3 linked regions of the Coturnix japonica genome follow. The protein of the gene in region 1 interacts with the protein of each later gene in a pairwise test. Links are inferred from orthologs where the notes say so. Each region holds a gene or a part of one and is shown in the gene's direction. Other genes may lie near its edges.

Region 1 (5,185 bases):
AATTATGAAAACCTGTCAGTAAGCCCATTTCTAGTTTATACGCTCGAAGTTCTATTAATTCAATCTCATTTCCTTGGTTCAGTAAGCATCACATGATACTGAATTAAAACTTCCAGTGCTGGCCAAGAAATCAGCAAGCAGGCTGGGAGGCAGACCAGTGCCTTCCATCTAAAAGCATCCACCTTCAGGAGGGTGGTGCTGACCAGCACTACTTCTCTTGCTGACTTTTGTTGTTAGCCCACTACTTCTCCTGGAAACTAATGCTGGAAAGCAAGAGCCACAGCTCCCTACTTCATCCCAGCCCCTTTCTCCAGTTAGGGAATTCTGCAGGACAACTTCTAAAATCTTCCCTGTACAGTTGCTTTAAGTATCCCTGGGCTAGTTCTTTGAGAGCCCTGAGCATTAACTGTGCAGCTATGCTGATTAGGACATGTTTAATTCCAGCAAATGCTGCTTTTTCATCTTCCTTGAGTGCGCGTAATACTCCCATTCAAGTCTCTCATCTGAGTGCCAATTAGCCCCTGTGGCAGAGCACATGAAATCTGACCAGGGGTAGATAAAAAAGGATAAAGCTGGAATAAGCTTCTTGCTTTCCACAGTTCAAGCACAAACAGTAGATTAGCTAAACTTGTGTATTTCTAAAAGGCGACATATTTGGCATTAGCGTTACACAGATATTCATAGAAAATTTACTGTTATAGCTGCATTTTGCTTCAAGAAGTCTGTTGACAACATGGCAGATTAAAAGAGCAAGCCTAAGGGTTACGACGTTCCCTATGAAAAACAACTAATTAACCTGGCACCTTGCTTTTAATATTATTTAAACATAATTTTACACGTGTACCAATCAGAACAGTTCGAGTGTTGTCACATTACACTGTTACAGCTCCAAACGTGAATTTCTTCCCTTCTAAGGTTGGTGAACCCAGTGTGCAGCAGTGTGACTGTGTAAGAGGCACTGTTAGGCTTTACGTCGATCCAGCTGCTCCACAAGTATATAAAGTCTACAAAATAGAAATCCTCACATTAATTTTGATCTTAAAAACTGTTTGACAGGAGCTGGTTTCTTGATTTTTTTTCTCTCTAATTTTAATACTGCCATATGTATTTTTAATCTCTTAAAACTTTTAGTGACAACATTTCCACAGCTTCCCTAGCTAACTACCTCTACTACTGCTTAAATACGCCGGCAATTACAGCTGTTACCAATGCACAGTCTGCTTGTGCTGTATTTTCACATTCCCTGTGCTGTGCCCCCAGTAAACGAGAGGCAGAGTGCTACATTCCTCTCTGGGTTAAAGTTTTCCCAGTTTTGGCGTTTCTTGGGCAAGTGCAGCAACGCAGGTACTGCACAGGACGGCAGTCAAAGGGGGCTCAGGTCTCCACTGTCACTTCTCTGCACACTTGCTCACAGTGGAAGGCAGCACAACTGCACGTCCCTTTCTGGAGAGGCAGAACGGCTGCCCTTGGGCTCCGGGCTAAGGACGGCCAGCACAACCAGCCCTGCACGGCTCCACCGCTAAGCTCAGCTTGAAGGATGAGCGCTCAGGCCTGCACAAACTGAGCACATCCACCCGCACGATGTGACCTCGACTCACGATCGACCTCTCTCCCTTTATGCCTTTCAAGCCCGAGCTGTGGAACTGTATGGGACGCGTTCTAGGAGATATCGAGCGATACCCTGAGGACGGCCCGGAGCACGCAGAAGCCCATACGCGGCTCCGGGCTGAAGACGGTGCTGACTACAGCAGTGCCGTCCGAAGGGCGGCGCGAGGAAGCCCCGGTGCAGCGCAGCCCTGCGAGGGGCTCCGCCGTGGGCTCTCCCCGCAGCTCCCGGCTGCGCTCCCGCAGGCGGCGCTGCGCCGCTCCCCGCCCTCGCTCCGCTGCGGCACCCCCGGGCGGCGGGGCCACAGACGGACCGCCCCTCGCCCGCCGCCCCCGGCCCCAGAAAGCTGTCACCGACGCCGCCCGTCCCTCAGGGCCGTGAGCCCCGGGAGTCCGCTCTGAGGCGAGCTCGGCGGCCTCCCGCCGGGTCCCGGTGCGCACCGCAGCGATGCCGGCAGCCCGCGCCGGGCCCCGCCGGGCCGCCCTGCGCACGATGCACCGCGGAGTCCCGTCCACGTTGAGCCGCCCTCCGCTGGGCGCCCTCTCCGCCCCGCTCGCCTCCTCCTCCTCTTTTTCCTCCTCCTCCTCCCACGGAGCCACCCTCCTCCTCCGCCCCCTCTCCCTGCCAGCCTCCTCCCCGCCCTTCCCCTCGCTCCACGCCGGTGCCGGAGCCGCGCGTCACTCGGGCTCCAGCCCCGCCGCAGACATGGCGACACTGACCGCGGTCCAGCCGCTCACGCTGGACAGAGGTAAGAGCGGCGGCTGCCGCCCCCCGGCCCGACCGAGGGAACATCGCGGGGCTCCGTGCGAGGCGGGCGGCGGGCGCTGCCGTGACGGCCCGCCCGTCCCCGCGCCGTAAGGGCTGGAGGCGGCGGGTGGGTGGGCAGGGTCTCCCCGCGGGGCTCCGGAGCGAGGAGAGGAGAGGAAAGTTTGTCCGGCGGCGCGGAGCGGCCGGGGGACGCTGGTAGGGCTGCACGGCGAGGGCTGGGGCTGCGCGCAGGTGCCCCGCGGCCGTGAGCTCGGTTCTCTTTGCCTCGCTGCCGCTGGAGAGCCGCAGCACATCCGCACCTGTCCGGAGACGGCACCGCGCTTGGGGCGGGCGGAGCGGGCGCCCGGTTGTAAGGGGAGCGTGTGTCGGCGTTTGGGGTCGGTGCGGGAGTGCTGCGTTGTGAGCTGACGGTGATGGTATTACTCCGTGTGATGGTATTACTCCGTGTGATGATGCTATTACTCCGTGTGATGATGCTATTACTCCGTGTGATGCTACCCTGCCGGGGTGCTGTGCATGCCTGCAGGCTGCTGCTCCGTCCGCGGAGAGAGAGCGGCTGATGTTTTGCTCGCCTTGAGTTTGTGTCAGCAGCCTGACCGAGGTAATGAAAAGAGGTGCTGAAATCGTGAACTTTTGTTTAAATTCAGTTTTCGCCTCCAGGCTGTGAAAATTGGACGGCTCCCTTGCGATGCATTTGCGCCGCTTGCAAGGCCGAGCAAAAATGCTGTTTAGTTTCTGTGGTCACAGAGGAGAAGGACTTAACCTGATGTCTGATTTGTTTTGCTTCTGTGGCTCTGTGAGTTAAAGAGGTCACACAGCTCCCAAAACAGTTTCTTGAGTTGCAGATGCATCTTTCTTAACTTCCATCAAGGAGCCCAGTGGCTCTGAACATGTATAAATCTTGTACTCTTGAAAGCACGATTTAGGCCAGTGCCGCTTTTTCTTTTACATGCTCTTTCTAGAGGATTAAGACAGGCTTTCAGAGCAAGATAGAGAGCATCTTCCTGTAAATCCTATGCAAAAGAAGCCTGATGAACCCGGTTTCAAGGTGAGAAAGATGGTGCAGGGACCTTTACTGGAGCTTTACGAGAGCAAAGCAGTCTTCAGAGTTTCACAGAATCACAGAACATCCTGAGTTGGAAGGGATCTGCAAGGATCATTGAGCCCAACTCCTGGCTGCACACACAACCGCCCAAAATCAAACCCTGTGTCTGAGAGCATTGTCCAAATACTTCTTGAACTCAGTCAGCTCAGTGCCTTGACCACTGTCCTGGGGAAGCTGTTCCAGTACCTGACACCCTCTATTGATGAACCTTTTCCTATTGTACTCTAAGTACAGTTTGCTGAATAGTTTTAATTTCAACGTTTTTAGAAAAGGAGAATTTCAAGTTATTCTTACTGAAATAACAAAGCGTTTGTTATTGGCATGCGCTTGAAATTAAACAGTTCAGAAATCCACTGTGTAATCTACAGTTTCACCCTAATACTGTTTTCAGTAAGCAGGACAAATCTATTTCCTGGCAAAGAGCTGAACAGATGGCAATCCATTAGCAAACCTGGCTTTTCTAAGGAAAGTATTACTATTTCAGAATTACGCGTTTCTTTTCATCGCTAACACAGTGCTTTAAAAAAAATCACAATACACAAAAATGCAAATTAGTCCAAATTTAAATGTAAACATCTGTTGTCTGTGTCCAGAATATGCCTAAATGTTTGGCAGGGGTGCTGGTGTTATGGACTCCCTGATTGTCAGCCAGGGCTGACAGTAGCGTGAGGAGATATGGCATCACGGAGTGGTAGAATGTGACGTGCAAAAGGGAACTACAGGCAAGAAGAAATAGATTTAAATACAGCACCTGGCCTGCAGAAGGCCATTACATCAACGAGATACACTTCGTCACCCATAACAGGTTGTTATTCCATGAGCTGGAGAGGGCGGGCTGACACTCTAGGAGCAACCCAAGCCTAGTACTCCCAGGTACTTCCCCTGTAGTCTTTCTCTCACAGCCAAGGAAGCAGGAAAGTTCTGTGCAGTGTGATTTTCCACATTTCACTTGTTTTTATTAAAGCAGACACAGCTATGTTTACTGTCACTTACGCTTTGTGCAGCTCTGCTGTGATATAGGCCCAGCCTGGAGTAGGGTTGTAGTCTTGTATCTACTTGGCTGTGCCCCACAGAGAGCTACGTGCAGCAAGAAAATAGAGAGCATTGCACGAAAGGCAGCACTCACTACCATGCGTTGCATAGGGAATGGCTGCTTCGTCTCTGGCTAGGAAATGTTTGCTTTTTCCTCCACTAAGGAGTCCAGAAATAGTAAAACTTTGTATAGATGCATACATCAGAAATCTGAGTTAGGCCCCAACATGGTCTGCTCCCAGACGAAGCCTGCATTCTCTGTTCAGTGCTGTGATGGGAGCCTTCCTAGCACCCAATACAAGTGGAATTCAGAATCGTGTGGTAAAATGTATTACCATTTAAAGGTGAAGGGCATGTTGTGTGTGAATGATTGAAAGCCAATTACATTCTGGAAGATTACTTCAGTCCAAAGCACAGGAATTAATTTCCCTAATTCCTGTCATCATGTGCCTTTCTACCTGCACAAATGTGTGCAAGTTCCATTAGGGCTTTTTAATATGTGGAACAAGTTCACAAAATAATGGAAATTTTAATCACTTACAATTTAATCTCCAAGGCTTTTGCCTGACCTTTGTGTGGTGCTCTGTTGGGAGGAGGGGAAGGAATCAGCAAGTGCTTCAGTGCAGAGATGTAAAGCTCTGGAGCTGAGGGGGTACAGCTCTGGGATGAGCTGC
Region 2 (4,463 bases), on another chromosome or scaffold:
CCAGCAGGGGCAGCATGCCCAATTATTTTGTAGTTTTTCCTGTTTGTGCCTTTTGCTTTTCTCATCTCTAAATATTAGGTTCCGGAAGCTCCCTCAGAACTCAGTACTTTAATCTTTTTGGAGCATTACCTACTTCAAGGTGTTTTTAAAGAGACATTTGGAAAAGTCTTTAAGGTGGAATGGAGCATTTAGGTGTAGGGAATTTATTTTAAAGACCTAATCTCCATAAAACATTGTGTTGTTCATCTCTTAAACAAAAATAGCCAGTAAACATCAAGTGTAATTAAATTGATTTTAAATCCTTTTAAATTTGACCAAAATAGAGGCAAGGATTATGGGAACATGGTCTGAATCTTGACCTTGTAAGAATATTTGATGCAGCGTGTAAGACACTTGGTAGTTTTTAGCTTGTAACACCACGTCAAATGCCTTGAATATATTCTTGCTATTAAATATACTCTACAGACTCAATTTATATAAATTATGTTCCTAAATACCTGATACCCTTCACTTCAGGAACTGTAATCAATTAAATTTGATCAGGCCTTCTGAGAAGACAGATTGTATGTTTGTAACTTCCAGTGTAATTTTTTTATTATGTGAATGTACATTGCTCCCAACGGTCGCACTGAACCCACGCAACATGGTTTTGCAGGTATGATTATATTCTGAAGGGCCAACATCATTCCAGTGTGAGCCCTCTGGTATGTGTCTCACAGTGTGCCTCCAAATTGTGGCTTTTATAATGAAACCCCATTAATAATTTCTTAGCTGTTAGAGTTCAAGTTAATGTAACTAACAATAAAAACTGGAATGAAGGGTTAAGAAAATAATAGTATTGCCAAATGTTTAGCGCGGAATGCTTATTCTGTCTGTGGTGTGTCACTTCTGGAACGTCAGCCTAGATTTGGATTTCTTCACCTGATGAGACATGGAATTCTTTACCTTAAATAACAAAGCAATCTGACATGCAGCAATACCAGTGTAATAAGAGTTGCACAAAGCAGACTGAACCTTTCCTAGTGATTCACACATTATATTAAGCAAATAAATAATGAATTTATCTTTTCCTTAGGAAGGAGGTGGAGGAGCTGTTAGCGTTTTTGAGTAATATAATTTTTCAAAGAGGAAATTCAGCTGCCATAGAGGATGCTATTGCACAGAGGATCACTGGTTGGGCCAAGTCACAAGGCATGGAAAAATAGAGGAGGAGGGGAGATGCTGTTCTGAGCATCTAAATGTATATATGGCTTATTGTGCGCTTATTATTCAGGCTTCATATGTGAATCATGTAGCAACTAGCAAAATGTTACTTTAAATAATATATTGTTTAGGATTGTTCTTATGCTAAATATTTATTTTATAAATTCACAAAGCGTGCAGATTTGATTCTGAGATGTACTACATACGTTCGTAATTATTGGTACATCTTTTTCTCTGTCTAATACTTAGCATCTGGCCACATGTTTGAAATGTCTTGCTTGCAGGACTTCTAACTGGGGATAACTTCCTGGCAGCTGCAGAGATATGACTTAGGTCAAACTGATGTGAAGCTGAATTCCTTCTGTTCTCTGTGTTTTTATCTAAATTAGTTCTTCAGTTTAGTTCTTGATTTTTTTTTTATTTTTTTTTTTTGTCACATTTTTCATCCTTAAGAGTGGAAAACTCTCGGGGAAAAGAATGTTTTCTATCGCACAGAAAGCTGCTGTTATGTATAATCTGTTCTTGATTCCTACAGCTTCATTAGTGCTTTTGGACTCATGACTTTGATGCAGATTAGGCCTGAAGATAATTACTGTAGAAAGTATCTTCTTCAACCTTGCCTTTAGATAAAGGGGAATGCCCTGCTCCTGGCTTGCCTTTAAAGCATACAGGGATTTTCTGTATTTGAGATGATGGCAAGACCTATTTAAGTGAACAGGAATGCAAACCTTTTTTGGCAACAAAAGCTACTTGAGCAAGAACAGCTGTTGTCTTTCTGTGGATTATTCTTTTTCTGTGGCAAACAAAATAAATAATAGCTGAAGAAAACTGGTTTGCTGAGATGCTGGTATTTTGAAGTTTTGACTCTTAGAGTTTCTGAGGCAGATGTTCCAGCAAGTGCTGCAAAACCTGTCTTGGAATCTTTGTTCTTGCTGCTAGTAGCAATACTGGGTTAAAAATAAATCATCTACTTTTAAGGAAAAGGAAGTCTGGTCACAGTAGTGAGAAACTAGTCAATTTTGAAAGATGTAGCAGTATTTGCATGGTAGGCTTCACTGTGGCTAATTATGCTGTCAGGTTCTTTTCTCAACTTCTTTGCATACATCTCTTGTGGTAGCTGAGATCATTGTTATCATTGTTAGTTTTTGTTGAGAAATCCATGTGATATACTGGATACCAGTTTGCATTCGATAGAAAATCACTGAGGTGCAGCATTCTGGAGTAGTCCTGTGATCTCACTGCATGTATTCCTAATGTGTACTAGGCCAGGCTCAGTGCGTCAGTATAACAATTATGTGCGCATATTTTACTTTCAGTAAAATGAATGATGATTGCAGCTAAGGTTTTGTGCTTCAGTTGGAGAAGGAAGACTGATAAATCACTGGGTAGACTGAGAGCTTTACTACTTCATTTCTTTTCAGGTTCAGTGTGTTTTGAAACCCAGTCACCACAGGGATGGGCAGGAACTCAATGCCTTGCTGAATGCCCCTCACATGCAGGTAAAAAAAAATTATTGTATTCTGCAGGTATTACAAGGTAGTTTTGACGTGAGCAAGGTAGCACTAGATCAGTAATGTCAGTGGCAACACATGAGCTACTTACTTTCCTGAGGGTTTTTTTCTGTGATAGATTCAGCTATTGCATTCTTATAGTAGGGTGCATAAAGAGAATTTTGTCCAGTGAAGTAAATTCATGAGTAGTTTTGACTGCAGTAGGTTTTTTTGCTTCTGTATCTTTGACATACATAGTAAACCAATGTCTGACTTTTTTTTCAAGAAGGAGAAGCCATAAGTATAGTTCCAACTTTGTGTTCAAAGTAATTTTGTATTATTTTCCAAAACCGAAAGCAGAATTTTTGTCAAGTAGAAATTACAGTATTCTGTATTTATAAAGTATTCTGTAGTTATAAAGAGCTTTCAAATTGCAGAATTTCATTGATGGCTACTATTTTGTATGCATATGGAATTAGAATTTTTCTCATTTTGTTTAACACTAGGCACTTCTACTAGCACATGATAAGGTTGCAGAACAAGAAATGCAACCCGAGCCTGTTGCAGATGAAAAAATTTATGAGAATGTTGGCACGTATGGAGGGGAAACGGTTAAAATAGTTCGTATTGAGAAAGCTCGAGATATTCCATTGGTAAGTATTTGTACTTGCCCAGTTATGCTTAAAGCAGTAAAGCTGTCTTTGCAGATAGCTATGAAAGTTACAGGATTTGAGTGTGAAAGTTATATTTAACTTAGAAATCATTTTCTTCCCCACCTGCCCAAATGATAAATGGTCATAAATGATTACTTAATGCGCATTATGATATAGCAGTAGACAGCACTTAGAGCCTGTATAGCTTTCATCGTGTGGATTTGGCTAGGGTTTTATTATAGCAGTCACTATCCAAGTTTAGCTGCAGGAAAGCTTAGATTCTTGTCCAATTACAGGTGGCTGTGTTATGTTAGTGTTCTTTTTAATCTACTATTTTGCATCTTTAAAATTAGTGTTTAGGAAAGCTTTTATTTAAAAAAAAAAGAAGACTATGAAAGTGTAGAGTAGTTTATTTCTTCAATCTTTAATATCACAGAAACAAATATGGTTTTTGTTTTTGTAAACTAGAGCATTACATTCAATATTATATGCATTTCTTTCAACGGAGAAATGTCTCCTCACTGCCTTGAAATACTTACAATAGATGGCTTTGAGTTTGTGATATGTAATAAATTCAGAATTTGTTTCTACTACACAGGGAGCTACTGTTCGTAATGAAATGGATTCTGTCATCATTAGTCGAATAGTCAAAGGAGGTGCTGCAGAGAAGAGTGGGCTGTTGCATGAAGGGGATGAAGTTCTGGAGATTAATGGCATTGAGATTCGTGGAAAAGATGTTAATGAAGTTTTTGATTTACTGGTGAGTTGGGAACTTTGTTTTCCCTGCAAAAAATACTCCTAAGGTTGAAGTCTGTTACCTCTGCTTGTCATTTGTAGACATATTTGCAATTATTTTAGAGCCAACTTTACTCTCATACTTAATACTCACACATGGTGGGCCATTTTAAGCTTACTTTCTCATGTAAGGTGCAATTTTAGCAAGTATAATGGCAGTTAAATGCAAAAATGAACCTTACAAATGTGAACAAGTCATGCTGTCATCTTGAGGCTTATTTTAATGACTTCTGATGAAAAGCTTTGCTTAGCTGTGAAAAGCTGTGATTTTTTTTATCTGTCTTGGACTCAGTTCTCAGTTAATATCAATAAATGTGTGCCT
Region 3 (4,266 bases), on another chromosome or scaffold:
GCAGTCCTTCGGAAAGACTGTTTGAAAAGAACAAAACAGGGTCAAAATAAACAAACAAAAAAGCCAAGCAAAGCAGCTGGCATTCAGCTGGGCCTCATTTCATTTCCACTGCTGCAGCAGCACACGCTGCACCAGAAATGGCTGAGAGCTGCCAGAAAAAGAAGTGTTGAATGGCTTCTCCTCCCGTGACGTTCCTTGGACTTGTCATGTAAAGCAAAGTGGCACATTTTATTCCTCAGGTCCTGGTTCCTTTTCTGAGACCCAGCAGAGGCAAATGAGAGGCATAGCGAATGATGAATGTTCTCTATGGTTTTGAATTTTCCCACTGGAGGACTGGTGCAAAGAAAATTAGAAACAGTCAGGCTGGGCAGTAAATGAAATCATTCTGTGTGCTCAGCAGCGTGTCTTCCCCTTCTGAGAAGAGCCCTGGCATGCTGACAACCCAGCTGGCGTTGTGTAGCTTAGATGGTAGCGATACCTTGTGTGATACTGATGGGGCATTCCAGGCTATAAAATGGGGAGTGATTTAACTTATACTGAATTGAATGTGGGATTTTTTAGCTTTTTTTCTCCTGAAACCTGTGAGATTCCGTTCTGTTAACAACATGAGAAGCTGTCCAGCCCGAGTTGTGGACTCAGGTTGTTAAGGATTCTAGTATGTCTGTGGTGCTTTGTGTTGCCTCCTTCCCACAAACACTGACTTTTGCCTTGTATAATCAAGAGACAAGATTAAGACGGCCCAGACAGTATGAAAGTAATTTCCTGCACTTCCTGAAATTTGATTCCCTAAGGGACATCCTTGCTTTTGTTTTACTTCCTCTGTGAATAAGAAAGAGGATAGTTGCATTTAAAGTATGCATGTTATGAATCTGTATGGATTCTGCATCATAATGTTGGACATCTTCAGCTTCCTGAACAAAGAAGAAATGTGCATTTGAAGTATTGCGTGCATTGTTTGCTAGTGGGTCTGTCTCAACTATTCCTGGCTTCCCAGGCCATTGCAAGAACTCCTGCTCCTGTGGTGCTCTATTTGCTTGCCTCCTTCACGTGCTGTGAAAGAAAAGCTATTCATATAGTTCTTAATTTTGGCTTTTCTATTTACAACTGCAGTGGCGCTTTAAAGATCTGAGATTCATCCACCAATGCAGCTTTGGTGATGTTTTGTTTCACACTAATTTAAAACCTTGGGGCTTTGGTGCTTTCTGGAGGGAAGAAAAAAGAGGCACAAATAAATGCACATAACCAATCCGATTATTGCCAGACATTAACTATTGTGATTGACTTGCCAGTTGCCTGCACAAAGCGATGGGCTGTCTGTTGGGCACACAGGGCCCCTCTCACGTGCTGTTATTGACTTCCTTAAGAATGGCAAGATGTGCAATGTTTGGTTTCCATATTTAACATTGTTGATGCCAAGTATAAAATTGTCGGTCCCATCAGTGCATTTTAGCTTGAGGGCTTTGTGGATTTATTATAGATATTTTATCTTTTTAATGCATAGCGGTATAAAGTTGTAAATGAAGCCATTCATCCTATGTCACAAACCAGTGCTTGTTGATTGGTAAGGATGTGACAAGTCTTGCATTCTTAGTGATTTCCAAATGCTTCCAACAGGACACCGACCTGAAGAAAACAGTGGATGAAAGCGCCCGGATCCAGAGAGCGTACAACCACTACTTCGATCTGACCATCGTAAATGACAACCTAGACAAAGCCTTCGAGAAGCTGCAGACTGCTATAGAGAAACTGAGGCTGGAGCCACAGTGGGTCCCCATTAGCTGGGTGTACTGAGATTGCTGAAGATGAGCTTAAGTAACAAATAAAATCAACTGCAGCAACCAAACTAACGTGACGGGATGTGGTGTAGATAGCGATGATAACTGCAGCGCCTGCGCATTTTTACTCTGTGTATATTCAAAAGTACACTGCTCTGACTTTTTATAATAACGCCGAAGAGAAAGTGTACTTAAATATGTAATTTATTTTAATTTTTCTAACTTTTTACAGATAACCTTTCTATTCATATCACACGAAGGAAATGCGTTTAAGCATTTTATACGTTTTGATTTTAGTACCTTTGCCTTTTTCATCGGAGAAACTTTCAGTCCTTCACTTTAACATTTACATCTCGGTCTTACATTTTCACTGTGACTAAAAAGAGGATACTTGAAACAATTTTTGTCGAACTCGGTCACGTCAGTGTTTAACCGCTCAAAAGTCTGTCGCTTTTATTAGGAAACAACAGATTTCTTTTTCTTTTCTCCTTAAAAAGCAATGATTTGACAAGAGTAGAATCTCAAACGCTAACAGCGACAAGCGGCACAGCTCCATTGCTCCAGCTTCTTTCTGCTGAACGTTGAAGCATTCTTGATGTTTCATGAATTCCTGACGTCTCTTGATTTAGGCAACTGTTCTGTAGGTTCCCTTATGCGTCCCTTGCAATCACACGAAGCAATACCTTGCAAGCTGCTCATCAGCTGTTCTTGGGAGCCTGCCCGTCAGAAGCCTCTCGTGGTGGAAGTACCTGCAGCAGGGAGCGTGTCTGCAAGGTAATTCAGTGCAGTGGTGATGTAGCCAGAGAGAACCTGATAGCGGAGCCTTGTAGAGCAAAGCTTAATATCCAGGACTGTTGTATTCATGCATGTGGAAACACATTGATTTGAGAAACAAAACAAAACAAAGAAGAACCCAGCCCAGCGTTTTCTTTTCTTAGGACATCGTTTGATGTTTATGTAGTGATCTGTGGCTTAATTTCCTGAGAGATCTAGCTGAGTTTTGTGTTCTCTTTTGGAAAACTGTTGTATTTTTGAGTGTGATGTAATGGAATTTCTGTGCTCTTTGTTGCATTGTGCTTTTAATTGATTTTTTCATTAGGTAGCTTGTGAATTGGAAGCCTGCTGCTAAAAATCCACCCTGTTCATCATTTTTGTGCTTTACAACGTACTTCTTTTTGTGTTTGGTGACAGTTGTCCCCTTTGTAGGCCCATAGACATAAGTCATATTAGGTTTGTTGATCAAAGCTTATGCTAATGTAAGTTTCTGCTTGACAAGAACAAAATGAAAATACAGCCTGTCACCAAGACTTGCTCTTTTTGTGATCACATTTTATATTATCCTGTTAGCTGTTGTATATAGCAACATTCACCATTCCATAGCAAGCTAAACAGAAGTCATCTATATTTGCTTAATTCCTCTTCCATCCGGTGACAGGCACCTTGCTTCTGAATTCTTTTTCAGCACCAAAGTGTGATACAGAACACTGCAAAAAGCAATTCTTCTTGTTTCTAAAGGAAAAGAGGCCTGCGTGCTGTAAAGCATCATTGGCTCCTGGGGCTCTTAAAGCCTTCTACGTGCACATCAGAAACTGCTGATATAGGAAAAGCTTACATCTCAAAAAGCAAAACCACCCTACCTGTATGCTGCAGGTGATTTTTAAAGCTGATGGAGTTGGTTGTTTAGCAGGGGGCAGCTTAAGATCAGAGTGCGTTTGGAAGATGTTTGTCAGAGCTGTGTGAGCACGGGGCATCTTTGTGGCTCTGAGGGCTGAGATCTCAGTCTTACGGAGGGACTCTGGAAGTGTTGGAGGAAAATTTGTGCCACTGCTTTGCTTTCTTGGTTTTGTTTGCTGTGGTTTTATTTAAGCTGGGCAGAGCATCAGCACCAGCCCTTTACTTGCTTTTCCCAGAGATGTGTTCTGTGATCCTGTCACTCAGAGTCTGCTCTGAGAAATAGATGGAGTCTTTTATGGAGCAGCAAAGACAGCAGAGCCGTTGCTTAACTAGTTCAATGATTTTGCTTTGGCATTATAAGCTTAGCGTGACGGGATTGTGTTTGTATCCTGTGTCATAGAAGACCTACATGTGCTGTAAATACAATGTGCTTCCTGGACAGATGCGATGCCTTTTCATTACGAGTTTGTGATGCCAAAAGTGGGCTGAGCTCACTCTCCCTTAAGGAGCGGAACAAGATGATTCTTCACTTTCCACCCCACGGCAGTTCATATTGCAAACGTCACCTCTTGTCATCACTTTACAGACGTGTACTCAGCCAAAAGTATCCCACGAGAGATGGGCACCAAGATTTAGTCATGAAAACCTCGCTACTCCTATTTCCATCTCAGAGATCATGCTGTGCAAAGAGACCACATAGTAAGCAGTCTCCAATTTGCCGTGTATTTGCTGAAGCCTGAAGCTTTTAGCTTTAGCTTAAGCTCCACGCAGTGCTTAGCAATCAAGCACATTTAAGTTAGCACAGCGGAGCCCAGCA

The links.
Region 2: the proteins of LIN7A (region 1) and MPP5 interact in binary tests that used the Homo sapiens proteins (3 or more experiments, as listed by UniProt). The two-hybrid records come from large-scale screens. The link is inferred for Coturnix japonica from reciprocal best matches to the Homo sapiens genes LIN7A and PALS1.
Region 3: the proteins of LIN7A (region 1) and MPP6 interact in binary tests that used the Homo sapiens proteins (3 or more experiments, as listed by UniProt). The link is inferred for Coturnix japonica from reciprocal best matches to the Homo sapiens genes LIN7A and PALS2.

Annotation. Positions count from the first base shown.
Region 1 is NC_029516.1:36,418,053-36,423,237, reverse strand, and holds the start of LIN7A (protein lin-7 homolog A), read left to right. Parts: upstream 1-1,974; 5' UTR 1,975-2,053; coding exon 2,054-2,354; intron 2,355-5,185. UniProt on the Homo sapiens protein: Plays a role in establishing and maintaining the asymmetric distribution of channels and receptors at the plasma membrane of polarized cells.
Region 2 is NC_029520.1:27,495,476-27,499,938, forward strand, and holds part of MPP5 (MAGUK p55 subfamily member 5), read left to right. Parts: intron 1-2,624; coding exon 2,625-2,702; intron 2,703-3,199; coding exon 3,200-3,346; intron 3,347-3,944; coding exon 3,945-4,106; intron 4,107-4,463. UniProt on the Homo sapiens protein: Plays a role in tight junction biogenesis and in the establishment of cell polarity in epithelial cells.
Region 3 is NC_029517.1:28,923,088-28,927,353, forward strand, and holds the end of MPP6 (MAGUK p55 subfamily member 6), read left to right. Parts: intron 1-1,614; coding exon 1,615-1,791; 3' UTR 1,792-3,352; downstream 3,353-4,266.